Linked DNA regions of Caenorhabditis elegans. The protein of the gene in region 2 purifies or fractionates together with the protein of the main gene of each other region. This does not show direct contact. Each region holds a gene or a part of one and is shown on either strand. Other genes may lie near its edges.

Region 1 (3,704 bases), on a different chromosome or scaffold from region 2:
ATAAATATGCAAAGGAGACTTATCGAATTCAGCTGAGCTCTCGGGAACATTTGAAAATTAATTTTCCTCATCAAGTTGACAGTCTGATTAGACTTGCAGATTCTGACAGTGAATGGGTATGTTCAATGTTTTGTTACATTCTCCCAAATTTTTATTTTTAGGTGCTCGTGGCATCCTATACAGTCACAGATCCAGAAGCTCAACTTGTTTATACTCTGGAAAAAGTTACAAAATCATCAAATCCAACATCACCATCTCTTCTCAAAGCATAATTATACCCAAGCCTAATCTGAAATGTTTGAAATATTGATATCATAGATAAATATTAATTTTTCAAAAAAACCCAAATACTATGTAATCCCACGCAAAGTGAAATAATGCCAGAACAATAATTCCAATGGATAGTTTGACAGCCCAAACTAATAGATAAATCACACTCCTGAAAGCAGCTTTCAAAGTTCTAAGGCTAAACTTCCGACGTCCTTATAGCATCTCTCTTCATGACGGTTGAGATTGCTTTGTTGGCTGAAACGTTAGTTAGGGAAACTGCAAAATAATTTAACACACGAATCGGGTAATATTTAATATTCTTTATTTATCCCGTTATGTTTGTAATTTATGGCTAGAAGATTGGCTAGTTTTGAAAATTCACAAAAAAAAAGTCTAAATACATTGGATCTAATGAATACATTAAACACTGGTGAGTCTCGAGAAAATACAATAAAAAATTGCAATTGAACAGGTGGTTTACAAATGTAGAGTTATAAAGGGGTAAAAATGAGGAGTTGCCTAGACGCCGAAGAACGTTCTGATCATTGTTTCTGCAGCCAGACCAGGGGTGATTTTTCCACTTCGAATTTCATTTTCCAGTTTCGGTGCCTGTAAAATTGAAAATTTAGAATTTATCAAACAGTATTTTTTTTTAATTCAGTATTATATTTTTTGCAAATTCTTTTGAAATATCGTTTTGATGGTGTATTTTAAGAACAAAAACGTACCAAATGTGCTATTTTCGGATGCTTTTGGAAAACGGACATAATTTCGTCTTTAACATGATTCCACATCCATTTTTTCATTTGATCCTGTCGCCTTCTTTCCAAATCTCCTGATTCTCCGATTGTATCCCAGAATTCGTACAAACTCGAACAAACTTCTGATACAGATTCTTTATCCATAATTGAGGATCTCATAACTTTTGGACGCCATACATCGAGTCGTGGTCGCATGAATTTCAACGCGGAAATGTATTCAGCCTGTGTCATCTTGGCTTTCGCTTTCAAATCTCCATCATCTTTCGTCACAACCAACAAATCACTCATCTCCATAATACCTCGTTTAACACCTTGCAATTCATCTCCATGAGCAGGTGACAACAGAAGACACATCATATCACACATATCGGAAACGGATGTTTCAGATTGACCTACTCCAACAGTCTCAATGATAACAATATCGTATCCAGCACCTTCGCAGAGGATCACAGCTTCATGAATTCCACGAGTGACACCACCGAGCGATCCAGAAGTTGGTGATTGACGAATGTAGGCTTTGGGATTACGAGATAATTCTTGCATTCTTGTAAGATCTCCAAGAACAGATCCTCCCGTCATGGCACTAGTGGGATCAATTGTTAAAACTGCAACTTTCTTTCCTCGATTTTCGGTTAATTCTGCTCCTAATGCTTCAATGAAAGACGACTTTCCTACTCCTGGACTACCAGAGATTCCTACTCGAAATATCATAGAATCTCTCCCGAATTTCTTGTATTTCTCTCGTTCTTCATCTAAAACCATCTTCAACAACATATTTCCTTGTGCTCTTTTTGTCGGATGGCGAGATTCAACTAGTGTGATTGCAGAAGCCAGGGCAGCTCGACTTCCGCTCATCAATGATTTGAAAAGTTTCTGCACATTTGGATCATCATATGTGACAGAGTCATCCCAATGAACACGAGAATATTGTTCTAATAGATTATCAAATGGCATTGATTTCTGAACTCCAGTGACTGATGGAATATAGGGTTTTGGAGTTGAAGATACTGCTAACGATGCGTGTCTGAAAATTCTATTTTCTTGATATTAACGATAATAAATCTCACCTACAACTAGCTGAAGTGAGTCTGGATACCCGAAGCAATGATCTTACTACCATCTGAAACAATAAGATAGACTTGGTAAAACGCATAGTAATAGAAATAAGAGATATCAAGTGTTGAAACGTTTCAATGATCAAAATAACAAAACAACGATGTTATGTAAACAATTGAATTCATTCGGTTTTAGTCCAATTATTGGTTCTGACAAGGAAAAATTAAATATTTTCGAAAAATGATGGTTGGTAAAGTATAAGGGGGCATGGGGAGATCTAAAATTTCAAACAAAATTTCGATTTACAAGTTAGTTATCATTGGGGAACAAGGGAACAATAAAGATGAACTCGTTTTTATCGTTAAAGAAGAATTAATAACTAATAATTAGTTATTTACAGATTTTTGTTCAGTGGAAACGGGATCGAATCGATTTACATAAGATCTTCCACTCCACGTGTCTCTATCAGAAGTTTATCCCAATCAATACTCGCATTGAAGACTTCCTGTTCAAGCCACTTTTCGTAATCTTTCTTAAAATGACGTCCAAGTTTCAGATTTGCACCAAGAACAGAGTGAGCACACGTGTCAACGGGCTCAAAATCTCTCATATCAACTCGATTCAGGTAGTCGTCACCAGGCATTGGAGCATCATTCACTTCTGAAAATTTAATTTTTGTTGCTATAAGCTTTTGTTATTTTAATCTTACCAATAGCAAATTGAGGATATAATGCCGAATATCGTCTACTATGGAATCTTTCGATGCTTGCTTTGATCAAACTGTCTTCTTTTTGATAATCACACTTTCTCTTGATATCAGAAGCAAACGCCCAATCATCGGTCATTCGATGTCGAACTCTCGAGTAGATCGCCGAAATTATGTCCATATTACTTTTTCTCCACTGGCGTCCAAGGTATCGTGATTGCATTTTGATCGCTTTCAGCACGTAAAGTTGTAGTACCGATACTCGTACTTTGAAAAGTCTCTTCAAAACTGGAGCAGATTTGAACACCATCAGCATTTTAACTCGATCGTTTTTAGCTTTGACCAATTTGTTGAGTAGACGAATGAGATTGATTGCGAAGAAAACATTTCGCCACATGAAATACGGGCCAGCGCCAGGTGGACGTGGTTCTTCTATATTGTCTTGAGTCAAAATTGGCCATTCTTCTGAAAAAGGAATACGAAAAATTTAGTTTGGAATAATTAAGACTCACCATTATTTCTGACATAATGGTACAAACATTGTGGATAGTTGTAGGCGTAGATTTCATGTCTTGATTGGATTAATTTGTTTGTGTTCTGTAACAAAATGAAATGAAAAGCAGAAAGAAGAATCTGATTTTGAAGGGAAGGGCTTCAATTTTTAAAGTCTGCACGTATATTTCACATGCCACTCATTGAAGAATGAGAAACGCAGAGAAAAGGGTGGGGCGATGGATAGATCGAGCGGCAAATGAACTTTGGTGAGGCAAGATCGCTTTTGGAACTTTGCAAAAGAGCAACAAGTGACATACCTGATCGAGAAACTTTAAAATCAAGGGAATTCCATTCACATATACAATCTGTTGGCAAATGTATTCGAATTGATAAATGTGATTCAGCTTGAAGTGCTT
Region 2 (2,883 bases):
TCTTTTTGCACATCTTGTGGAGAAAAGTTGCGATTAAAATCGAGACCACATTCGCCAACAGCCACGCAACTCGGGTTTTCTTGTAATTTTTTGAGAGCTTCCAATGTTCCATCATTCCAATCCTTGGCATCGTGCGGATGAACGCCTAGGAATTTTAAGTTATTAAATTGATAACGAGGGCGTGATTGAAAGTTTCGGTAACATACCTGCAGTAAAATACAAAAATCCCGGATACTTTTCAACGAGATCTGCACATTCATGACTAATTTTTTCGCTGGTTCCAGTAACCATAATTTTCGACAACCCGGCTTGCTTGGCACGATCGAGCACATCATTCAAATCCTTTTGATATGAAGGATGACCCAGATTGGCTCCGATGTCGACGAGTTCGTACAACGCCATCCTGGTTATTCTTGATGATATTCCGAGAATTCTGATATGATAACAATTTGAAAATAAGCGTTAAAATGAAGGCGAAAATCGAGAAAAAGGCATTGTAAAGGCAAAAAAGTCCATTGAACAGAGAATATTAATATTCAAGAAAATTTCAAAAAGAATTTATCAACAGCAACAGTGAAAACTAAATGACTATAGGAAGTTATAGACTAAATAAAAAATTAAATTTTACTCCCATCCGAGATTGCGGCGTACATTCGGATCATCCAATGCTTTGAGTTCTTCTTGCTTCTGCTTCAATAACAAATCAGGAATATATCGGGAGTCTTCATCAACTTTCTCGTGTTCTTTCACCGTCATCTGAAGAATATATTTTGATTGAAATAAATTTCATCATATTTCATGTTATTACGACATCGAAAATTGGCTAATTTTACGAAATCTACATTTTTTTAAAACCTACAGTAACTCCAATGGGAATATGTGCTCGAATAATTTGACTGAAAAGTGAGAATCGGGGAGCGGCAACATCACTGAGACGGACGACGCGATCGTATGTGGACATATCAATTTCAGATTCGGAAACCGTCGAGTACGGCTTATAGGTGATTGCTTTTTGTGTTTGAGCAGCGACAGCATAACTATCCACCACGGTAAATCCGAATCGTTTCGCAGTTTTATGAATGTATGCTTGATATTTTTCTAGCGATCCAAAGTCGTGTCCTTGAATTCGGACGTTAATTGTGTTGTACCTGAATTTTTTTTTAAATTTAACAAATTTTTGAGAACTTGGCGAACGTACTCTGGAAACTCTCTACTATCTTGAAATTTCGGCTCGTAGAGCAAACTGGCGTCACGCTCTCCAACAGTTTCTCGTAGCGATGCGAGTCCTCGATTCTGTGAGATCACGCGAGATAATAAGGAGACCGCTCGGGATGACATTCTGCTTGAAAATTCAAAAATATTTTTATAGAGGATGTTGAAAAAATAGTTCAAATAAAAACGGATTCAACCTGAACTTGTGAAAATTTTATGAATTATTCAAGATGATTAATTTATTTTTTCAAATATTTACAAGCGATGACCAGTTTGTCGGAAAAGAATTAAAGAATCTATAAAAGCGAGCGAAAGAATTCAGAAAAATGGATGACGACCAGCAGAAGGTTGAGAAATATTTGGATATCCTGAATAGCCAGATCCGAATTGAATATTTCCTATTCCAGGCATGTGATTTCCTGTTGGGTATCCAGGCTGAGCGTGTGGCATTGGAGGAGGTACAGTTGGTTGAGCATATGAAGAATACGTTTGTTCACGAAGAAGTGCTGCGAGACGGTCAGACTTGATTTTTCGTAGATGAGCAATTGTCTTCTTATCTTTGAATTGCTTCAGGAAAATTTCCACGGATATTTCTCCATTTTCAAATTGTGTGAATAGGGCTTCTGCATCATCATCAGCTTCTTGTGCGGCGACTTGCATCAAGCTCGATGTTGTATCAAGTGATTTTGATGAGGAAACAGAGTCCAATTGACTTTTCAGCACGGCAACTTCTCCTTGGAGCTTTTTTACTTGGTCGTAGAGATCAACCGTTTGCGTTTTGGCAGCATCGATTCTCGGCTTTTGAGCTAAATTCCATTCTGCTAATGATTTATTTGCGGCAAGAGCTGATTCCTTATCAGTCGGCATTGAGCGGACCTGAAAAGTTATCCAGTTAAAATAAATCACCTGCTGAATATTTTTTACAAACCTGCGGGAGATTGACAATAATCGATTCTAAAAGGGCATCATCGTCTAGCAACGAAATTAATTGTTCGTTTGTCATATTCCGGAGATTAGCCTGCAATTGAATAACGAATTTTTAAAAATTCTAAATGTAAAAAGTAAAACTCACTGAAGCTGCAGATACGGCGACGTCGACGTGTGACTCGTACGGGTTTTGACTAAACATTTCGCCCTGAAAATTAATTAAATAAAGAAACAGGAGCATAAATAATGATTTGGAAGATAAAAATAATTGAAGAAAGTTAAGAAATCAATGGAAAAGGAAGAAACGTTGTGAAATTTTCATGAAATGGCAACAAGAAATGTGTTTAATGAAAGATCAGGTTCGCTGAAGAGACGCAGGCATATTTCTGCAAACACTTTAAACTACGCGCATTGCGGAAACATTAAAGTTTACGACGCATTTATTGAATGAATTGAAGGTTTTTAAAAGTCACATTCCTTATTCAAAATATGCTGTATTTATTGTATTTGGATCCCTTCAAAAGAATTAATAATCAGGCAAATTGAAATTTTAAGATTTTTGTGCGGAAAAATACGGTAAATGCAAAAAGGTGTTCGCCTTCAAAGAGTACTGTAGCTTCCAGGTATTTATAAAATATACTTAAATATTTAGCGGACAGCGTTGTAAAAACAACTGGGCTTTTTTTTCGATTGCCAGTTATATTCCGAGAAAATTTATTAATTATACTTCGGGGATAAAAAATA
Region 3 (5,153 bases), on a different chromosome or scaffold from region 2:
CTAAATTAAGCAATATCCGCACACAAACCTCAGTTGAAACCTGAAAAGAAGCAAGATCTGAAAAATGCCTGAAAAAATTGGCTCCGAGTACGGGCACTTCGGACGGCCAAAAAATTTTGTGACTATTGTCAAATGAAAGATCATGGTTGATAACATAAATTCCCACAATTTCAGAAAAATCGATTCGCAGCAAACAAAGTTATGTTTTTTGACCCGGAACTTACTTGGAGACCTAATAGTTTGATAGTGTTTTGAAGGGCTTGCGGAGCTTGTATAACTTAGTAGATCAAACTGAGACTACGCCTCACTAATATTATTTTTATGAATTACTGAAATTTGCTTTCAGAATGACTGGTATCAAAATCAACGAAGAAATAAGGTATCATTGTCATCGTATCCACTAATTTCAACATCACGACAATCGAAACAACAACGTGCCAATGAATATAATTCACAACACAAACACGTTAAAAGACAAAGTAACAATGATTACGGTAGCCAACGGAGCGTGACTAACTCATTGAATCCAGAATTTGTTGGGGTAAGCAGGGCATTCATTATTTGCCATTTTTTAATGTTTAAAAGTTTATATCATCGCAGTAAAAGTAACTTTTACATACTGTAATCCAAACATTGACTGATCTAATCCGATAATAGTTTCAGAAATGGGATGACGAGACGTATGGAGATTGGCCCACCATCCAGAAATCAACATAAATATCCAATTTTAGTCTTCTACTAGTTGTTTTTACCGTTTGTATTCATATCAAATTTTCATGATGATCTTTTGTTTCCATCTCCAAGCTTTCACTTTTTGGTTGTTTTAATTTTTTTTTTCTGTTGAAATTGAGTGTTTTTTTTCTGTTGAAATTGAGTGTTCCATTTTTATATGAAATGGATTTTGTCTGTCTTGGAAATTCTTTTGAAGACATTGAATCACAGAAGAATGTTTAAACATTTTCAGAAATTGTACGGAAAAAGTTGGGACCAAGAGAATTATGGTAAAATAAAACTTGTAATATGTATTACAATTTAGAAATAAAAAACTATAAATTTTCAAAGTTGGTTTTAAGTGCGTACAATATAATAGCCATTAAAAAGATATAGAGTAACCATGAAGAAAAATTCAACTAATACCTTTATTTTTCTAATTGAGAACTAACAGTTCAAATCCTTTAATGGATACTTTACAAATTAACTGTTGTTTTTGTTGGTAGGACTATTCACGAACGAACTAAAAAACGCATTAAATGGCTCTGCCAACTTTAGTCAAATTTTTTAACAGATTAATGCTTTTTGCAAACTCTCGCTATGCATTGGCGGTGAGAGACGCAGATAATACTTTTTTCTCTGGACGTGAAAAACACAAAGGATAACCGTTTTGCCATCTGCGTCTCTTCTTTCACACGCTATTTTGGCGGTGGACGAGGAATTCTCCTCTTCCAGGATTTTCAAGGCCATTTGCTCACATTTCTCAAGTTTTCTTGTCCGCGAGAAAACATGAATTTTGAGGCAGCCAGCGAGCACGTGCCAAAAATTTTTGGTAAACTTCGCCCTGTGCCAAGACCTAATCAGGATGTGCCTAACGCCTGCCCAAGATCTGGAAAACGCAAAAAAATATATCTGGAAAAAATACTAAAAACTAAAAACATGAATAGTTCTGACAGAGACTGTTTCATGAATTTTGCAACATTCGATAAATGGTACTTTCAAAAGTGCTCAAAGATCACGGCCATGGTCACAAACTTTTAGATAGCATATATTTCGACTTTAGACCAGAATTGATAAAATATCCATTCGATAAGAAAAAATGTTGCAGACCTAGTTTGTTTACATATTCTTTCACACCAATTTTATGAGTTCAGTCTATCATCACTCTGAAAAGTACATGGCTTTATCATGTAATCACGAGAAAATCGAAACGCGGGATAGTTATATCTATTAAACTGACCATATTTTTATTCATTTTCTATCTGAAGATATGATTTTGAAACAATTTTTATGGTTTTTTTAACGAGCTCAACTCTTTAAATAGGTTGTTCTGATATAGGAACATTTGTAGATCAAAAATTATGATGATCTCAATTTTCAGTCTGTTGGCTTCAACAGCCATTTTGGTATTTGCTAATGGGCAGAGCAATGTCAAATTGGAGTTTGTTCAAGCGGTAAGTTATATGAAATCCTAAATGCCAAATTTAGTCCTCAGTGAAAGTTACTTGGGTAGTACAATTTATTTTTAATTATTTCAAGATGTGGAGACACGGAGAACGTGCATCTCAAGTTGATCAATACCCAATTTACGAAAAAGATTGGATTTATGGAGGAGGTGGTCTCGGAGAGCTGACTGCAATTGGAATGGGAGAAATGAACGAACTTGGATGGCTTATTCGTAAAAGATATGTTACTAAATTGAAGTTTTTGACACCAAAGTATGCGTCCAGAGAGGTATACCCTAAAAATGTTAGAACGTGCCAAAATATGATTATTTCCAGGTATATTTTAGATCAACTAATTTCAATCGTACCATTATTTCGGCACAATCACTTTTGTACGGGCTGTTTCCACCAAGCTTGTATGATGTCAAAAGTAGGTTGTCAAAAAATTGATTAAATTTTTTATGCCAAACGGTTCAAACTTAAAGCCAATATGACTTTTTCTGTTGAACGAATAGATAAATTTAGTCCAGTGATATCTTTACTTTTTAATTTTTCATATTGAAATTGTCTGCACGTCTCTTATAAAATTAGCAAAAATCCAACTATTATATTACCTCTAATGCATTAGTTTTGATGATTACCATATTCAGACGTTGACTATCCATACTCCCCACTCACTTGGTTCCCTGGATTCACGTTTGTTCCAGTTCACGTCGATGGTCCGGATCAGTGTGTATGTTGTAAATTTACATTGGTTCTCGAGTAGTCTTAAATAATCTTACTGCGCGTGCCAGTTAAAATTACAAAATTATTACAAACCTTTCCAGGCCGCTAGTCAGAACTGTCCATGCACAAGATACGATCTTCTCCAAGGGCAGATGTTGACTCTTCCGGAAGTTTTGCCAAAGTATACGCAGGTAAGGTTTGATTGAATTATACTATCATCGGTAACCGTATTCACGTTGTGATGGCTTTGTCGGTAACTATGAACAGGCGCCTAAAATGCCTGCCTTCCGCCTAGACGCTTGCCTACTAGTAGACCTACTGTCAAGTTTTTCGTGAACGATTGTTCATTTATCATTCGATCAAATGCGTAAAGCTACAATATGTGAATCTCAAATATTGTAGTTTAAATCCTGACTGCCTGAATGTAGAAAATAGACGGTAGGCAGGCACGTGCCTCCTCTGAATTTCAATTTTTAGGTGGTCCTACTTAACCGTCGTGTCGGTGGATATTACAACATGACATCTGGCCTAGACTCCTTCACAACATACCCAGATACGTGGAAATGCCAGAGAGCATATTTCAACAGAACTATGTACGCGAAGCTTCCATGGTACAATGAAGAACTCTACTATCAAGCCCAAGTTACATATGCTCCGGTTAAGGGATTTTTAGAGGGAAATTTTGGTTAGTTGGGACGAGATTAAAGTCTCAGTGAAGCTTGGTTTCAGAGAATCCTGCTGTCACTTCTTCCGGGCTCGATGTGGGTCTTGAAATCAAAAAAGTTCGATCCGGAGTTATTATCAATGAAGTTTTCAATCGTGCCAATGAAAAATTGAATTGTGCAGAGCTGGGACAAAACTGCACTAGCTATTTGAATAAGCTGAAATTCTATGGATATTCTATTGTAAGAGATTTTAAAGTTTACTCCATAATTTAAGTTCAAAAATGCATGATATCTAGCCACGATCTTACCGTAGTTGGGAATACGGTAGACTACGGTAGTATTACTGTACTTGACTGGAAGTTAAGTATACCATCATAGTAGGTAGGAATCTGTTCATCCCTAGCTACCTCTGCCTACCTCATGCCGAGGCACCAGTCAAGGCTTGTCGGAATGTAGGCAAGCATTGTAGGTAACTCTAAGAAATTGAAATATAAAAAAAAAGAAAAGAAAAGCTAGTTACTTTTCATGCGAATTTTTTCAGGATTTTCAGAAAAAAAAATTTTGACAAAAAAAATGTTTTTTTTAATTTTTGAAATCAATTTTCCAAGATCTCACAACAAATTCGTTTTCCAGCATGACAACAATGTGTACGGTGTCCTGGTTGCTCTTGGTATTCCACAAATCGCTAACACACTTGACGGATGGCCAGCATACGCAGCTGGAATATTTATGGAATTCCACAGAAACACGTCAACAAACGAGAGATTCTTCAAGGTATTCCAGAGAGAAACCAGAAAATTCGAACAATTAAATTTTCAGGTTCTGTACCGTGAAGGAGATGACACTCCGATTTCTGATGTGACAAGTCAACTTCCAATTTGTAATGGAGCCACCTTGTGTCCACTTGGAGCTCTTCAGACTTTGGCCGAGACACTGAAGCCACTTCCAGATATTACTACTGTAAGCTCTTGTTTCCAAAAATTTCGACTTTATAAAAAATTTTCAGCTCTGCAAAACTCCTCTATGAATTACTGGAACTGTAATTTTTGTTGTAACTCAATTTTTATATTTTTTTATGAACTATTTCATTAAAACTCTTTTTGTTCACACAATCCTAAACCGGTATTATAGGCAAAAGACAAAAAAGTAACAAACAACGGACTAAAGAAGTATTTACACATTTCACGGAAATTTGTCAAAATTGACAAATTATCCTTGATTAAGAGGAGCCTGTCCCATTGGCTTCAGATTTTCGGAAATTTCGAATTTGCAAGCGGTGAGTTTCTTGATATCATCTACAGTAAGATCCTTCCTGACTTCGATCAATGTCAATCCGTTCTTTGTGTCCACGTCGAAAACTGCCATATCAGTAATGATTCGGGAAATTACTCCTTTGCCGGTCAGAGGAAGTTCGCAGTGCTCTAGAATTTTTGGCTCTCCGTTCTTCGATACATGCTCCATTACAACGATCACACGGGCTCCGGGAGCAGAGACAAGATCCATTGCACCGCCCATTCCTTTCACCAATTTTCCCTGGAAAATTTTAGAAATTTATTAAGATGGAAGATTAAGCGGAAAAGTATATTTTTATGAAGTTGTCTAAATT
Region 4 (2,764 bases), 4.6 Mb from region 2:
GACAACGAAGAGCAACAGTTGAACTTTCGTCAATTTGTTCGAATTCTTGCACACTTTCAACCGATTTCAAGAGTAAAGAAAAATGCTCTCAACTCGAGAAAAGACAAATTGCTTTGTAAGATTATTCTTTCAAGTTTTTAATTATTTAATTTTATTTCAGTTGCGTTCAAAATGTACGATTTAAATAAAAACGACTACATCACACGTGAAGAATTCAAAGTCATTCTGAACAGTATGGTTGGTGCCAATATAACTTCTGATCAACTCGACAAGATTGCTGATCGAACGATTGAGGAAGCTGATGCAGATCGTGATGGAAAAATTTCTTTTGATGAGTTTTGTCGAGCAATGGAAAAAACTGATATTGAGGAGAAGATGTCGATTCGATTCCTAAACTAAGCTTTTACAAGAAATTCCCCTGCTAGTCTCGTTTTCAGTTTGCCATTTTCTCTTACCTGTACATAATTTTTGTCACTTCTCACCATTTTGCCTTGAAGACACAAACTATCTCAGAAGTTGTTTATCAATTTTCGTGTGAAATCAAAATTGACAAAGAAAAATGAATGTTTTATCAGTTTTATCATTGATTAATAGTTTTCAAACATTTACAAAGGAGCACATTGTCCCTTGCAGATGGCTCCTTGACGATCCTTTTGAACTGCCTTCAAATCATCTCCAACCTTGTAAGTGACTCTTCCAATTCCATCCAAAGTGACTTTTACGGTAGCAACTGGCTTTCCAGCATCATCCCAAGTAGTAATCTCCCAATCCTTGAGTCCACATTCATCGGCTTTCTGTTGGAAGGTGTTCTTCTGAAGCTTCTTCAAATAGCTCCATCTGAAAAAGAAAACATAATTTTTCTATTGATGTCCTCCGAACAAACCTTTCAGATTTCTTTCCATTGCTGGCAACAATTTGTCCGCTGAATTTCTTGTCTGTGTCCGATTTCAAATGAACAATGATGTCACATGCGAGAGCGACAGATAAAAAGAACAGAAGAATAACTGCGACACGCATTCTAAAAAAGTATACTGTAGACTACAATGGTTCTATTGATATGGCAAAATATCAGCAACGTTGGTGTTCTCACAAAAGAAATACATTGGAAAGGTACAAAGAATGGAGGAAGAGAAATTTTGTTATTATAGAAAATATTTTGATTGTTCAACTGTTGGTAATTCAACAGTAAAAAGGATAAAAAGAAACATGAGAACGAATAATTGGGTATAAACAGGTAGTAGTCGGTCTATCGGTCGCAGTGGTGAATGGGTAGTCTGCCACAGCGGCCGAATTGCGATCGATACGGGCTGTCCTTGAGAGCCTTGGTGTTGTTACACAAAACAACGATAAAGTAAATCAAAAAGAAGAAGACAAATGAATGAAGCATTGAATCAGTTTTGTTTTCAAACAAACACCGACTAAACGAAAAAGCAATTGGTGTGTCATTTGTGAATTTTGTTTTGACGACCACATTCTCACATTTTCAAGGATCGGCACTGATATCTGTATTCATACTAAGTATACCATGTAGGAGCACAAGAGCCTACAGACGTAGGCATGCGTAACTGGTGACATCCTAACACTACGTTCACACGATGTCAATTAACATTTGGGCTAGTAAAGAAGGCATAGTTGGACTAGGTGATCTTCGGGAAGCTACTCATGCATCGCATGCACACATCTTAGCACCTACATGTTGTATCGACATTTTAAGTATTTTATCAATTTAACAATGCAAAAGAATGAGCACCCCGCGACTGAAAGAAAATGAACTGTCATTAAAAGTTAATATTACGACATAGAAAAACTTCAAAATAAAACAATTTTTTACGATTGTTCTAGTCGATTTGTATTTCTATTAATTATATCTAAGCATCTGAACATGGGCTCGAACATGCTAGAAATTTCTAGAATTTGGCAATTTACCAATAAAAACATAAGTAATTTAATACGATATTCGACGATGTAGGCTCGAACCTAAACGATCATTTTATGTATATTTTGAACTTTTAAATACTGTTCCCGAGTATTTCTTTTCCAAATTTCATATTCAACACAATCTTCCATGTTTAATCAGATTTCACAATTTAAAGGTTAACGCGTTACAGTATTCCATGAAGCCGAATATTGAAAACTGGTATATGTTCTCTTATTGTTGTCACAAAAATCACAAAAATAAAGTACACCACGTGTGTGACTCTAGTTTTTCTAATCTTTTGGTGTTTTGTTGTTGTTCGGTTACAGTAGAGAGATAGACTAGTTTTTGAGAGTTAGACAAAAATTTTATGCCAGTATAAAAAATTTAATTGTCTTATGAAAACAGTAATGGAAGAATGATATTTTGTCTGAAGATGATAATTTAACTTCAGGAAAGGGTACAAAAGAGAGAAATGAGCTCTTCACTTTGAAATACTGTTGTGCCAAAAGTGTTGATCAGAATTCTGATCCTCCGACGGTTATCTAATAAATATCTAGTTTTATTCATTTACTTCCTTGGTCCTGATTTCAACAATGTTTTGAAAATAAATCGAATGAACTGAAGATCTTATTTCAGGTCTTAAAACCAAATTTTCGGGGATCTGTACATGACTAATCTACAAAGTAAATTAGTTGCCATAGAATCTGACGTCATTCTAAATTATTGAGTCACGATCCAGCATCCGATTATTCAAATTCAAGTTTCAACGAACTGGTCTTGAAACTCCGCACGAATATTTGTGGGCTGATTCAAATACGAATAATGTGTTTTTTTCCGATTAAACTA

Evidence for each region.
Region 1: the proteins of mrpl-48 (region 2) and mmaa-1 fractionate together in Caenorhabditis elegans (co-fractionation; one large-scale study listed by BioGRID). This does not show direct contact.
Region 3: the proteins of mrpl-48 (region 2) and pho-11 fractionate together in Caenorhabditis elegans (co-fractionation; one large-scale study listed by BioGRID). This does not show direct contact.
Region 4: the proteins of mrpl-48 (region 2) and ZK856.7 fractionate together in Caenorhabditis elegans (co-fractionation; one large-scale study listed by BioGRID). This does not show direct contact.

What each region holds. Positions count from the first base shown.
Region 1 is NC_003280.10:7,099,013-7,102,716, forward strand, and holds mmaa-1 (Methylmalonic aciduria type A homolog, mitochondrial), read right to left. Parts: upstream 2,152-3,704; coding exon 2,099-2,151; intron 2,056-2,098; coding exon 999-2,055; intron 880-998; coding exon 790-879; 3' UTR 571-789; downstream 1-570. Other genes in the region: T02G5.3 (EF-hand domain-containing protein), read left to right, coding at 1-116, 162-272; farl-11 (DUF3402 domain-containing protein), read right to left, coding at 2,521-2,747, 2,797-3,258, 3,306-3,390, 3,606-3,704. UniProt on the Caenorhabditis elegans protein: May have GTPase activity. May also bind and hydrolyze ATP. May function as chaperone. Likely to have a role in propionyl-CoA and adenosylcobalamin metabolism.
Region 2 is NC_003283.11:5,592,165-5,595,047, reverse strand, and holds mrpl-48 (Small ribosomal subunit protein uS10 domain-containing protein), read right to left. Parts: upstream 1,343-2,883; 5' UTR 1,339-1,342; coding exon 1,199-1,338; intron 1,149-1,198; coding exon 860-1,148; intron 757-859; coding exon 625-756; 3' UTR 549-624; downstream 1-548. Other genes in the region: crn-2 (Deoxyribonuclease TATDN1), read right to left, coding at 1-145, 207-402; vps-37 (VPS37 C-terminal domain-containing protein), read right to left, coding at 1,531-2,088, 2,141-2,230, 2,285-2,341.
Region 3 is NC_003280.10:9,929,791-9,934,943, forward strand, and holds pho-11 (Putative acid phosphatase 11), read left to right. Parts: upstream 1-2,058; 5' UTR 2,059-2,072; coding exon 2,073-2,165; intron 2,166-2,250; coding exon 2,251-2,445; intron 2,446-2,492; coding exon 2,493-2,586; intron 2,587-2,806; coding exon 2,807-2,889; intron 2,890-2,983; coding exon 2,984-3,073; intron 3,074-3,359; coding exon 3,360-3,567; intron 3,568-3,611; coding exon 3,612-3,787; intron 3,788-4,180; coding exon 4,181-4,321; intron 4,322-4,366; coding exon 4,367-4,507; intron 4,508-4,553; coding exon 4,554-4,574; 3' UTR 4,575-4,641; downstream 4,642-5,153. Other genes in the region: C05C10.2 (DNA2/NAM7 helicase-like C-terminal domain-containing protein), read left to right, coding at 347-541, 658-717; C05C10.3 (putative succinyl-CoA:3-ketoacid coenzyme A transferase, mitochondrial), read right to left, coding at 4,757-5,080.
Region 4 is NC_003283.11:10,200,352-10,203,115, reverse strand, and holds ZK856.7 (uncharacterized protein), read right to left. Parts: upstream 1,019-2,764; 5' UTR 1,018-1,018; coding exon 884-1,017; intron 838-883; coding exon 606-837; 3' UTR 563-605; downstream 1-562. Other genes in the region: chpf-1 (EF-hand domain-containing protein), read left to right, coding at 1-115, 161-399.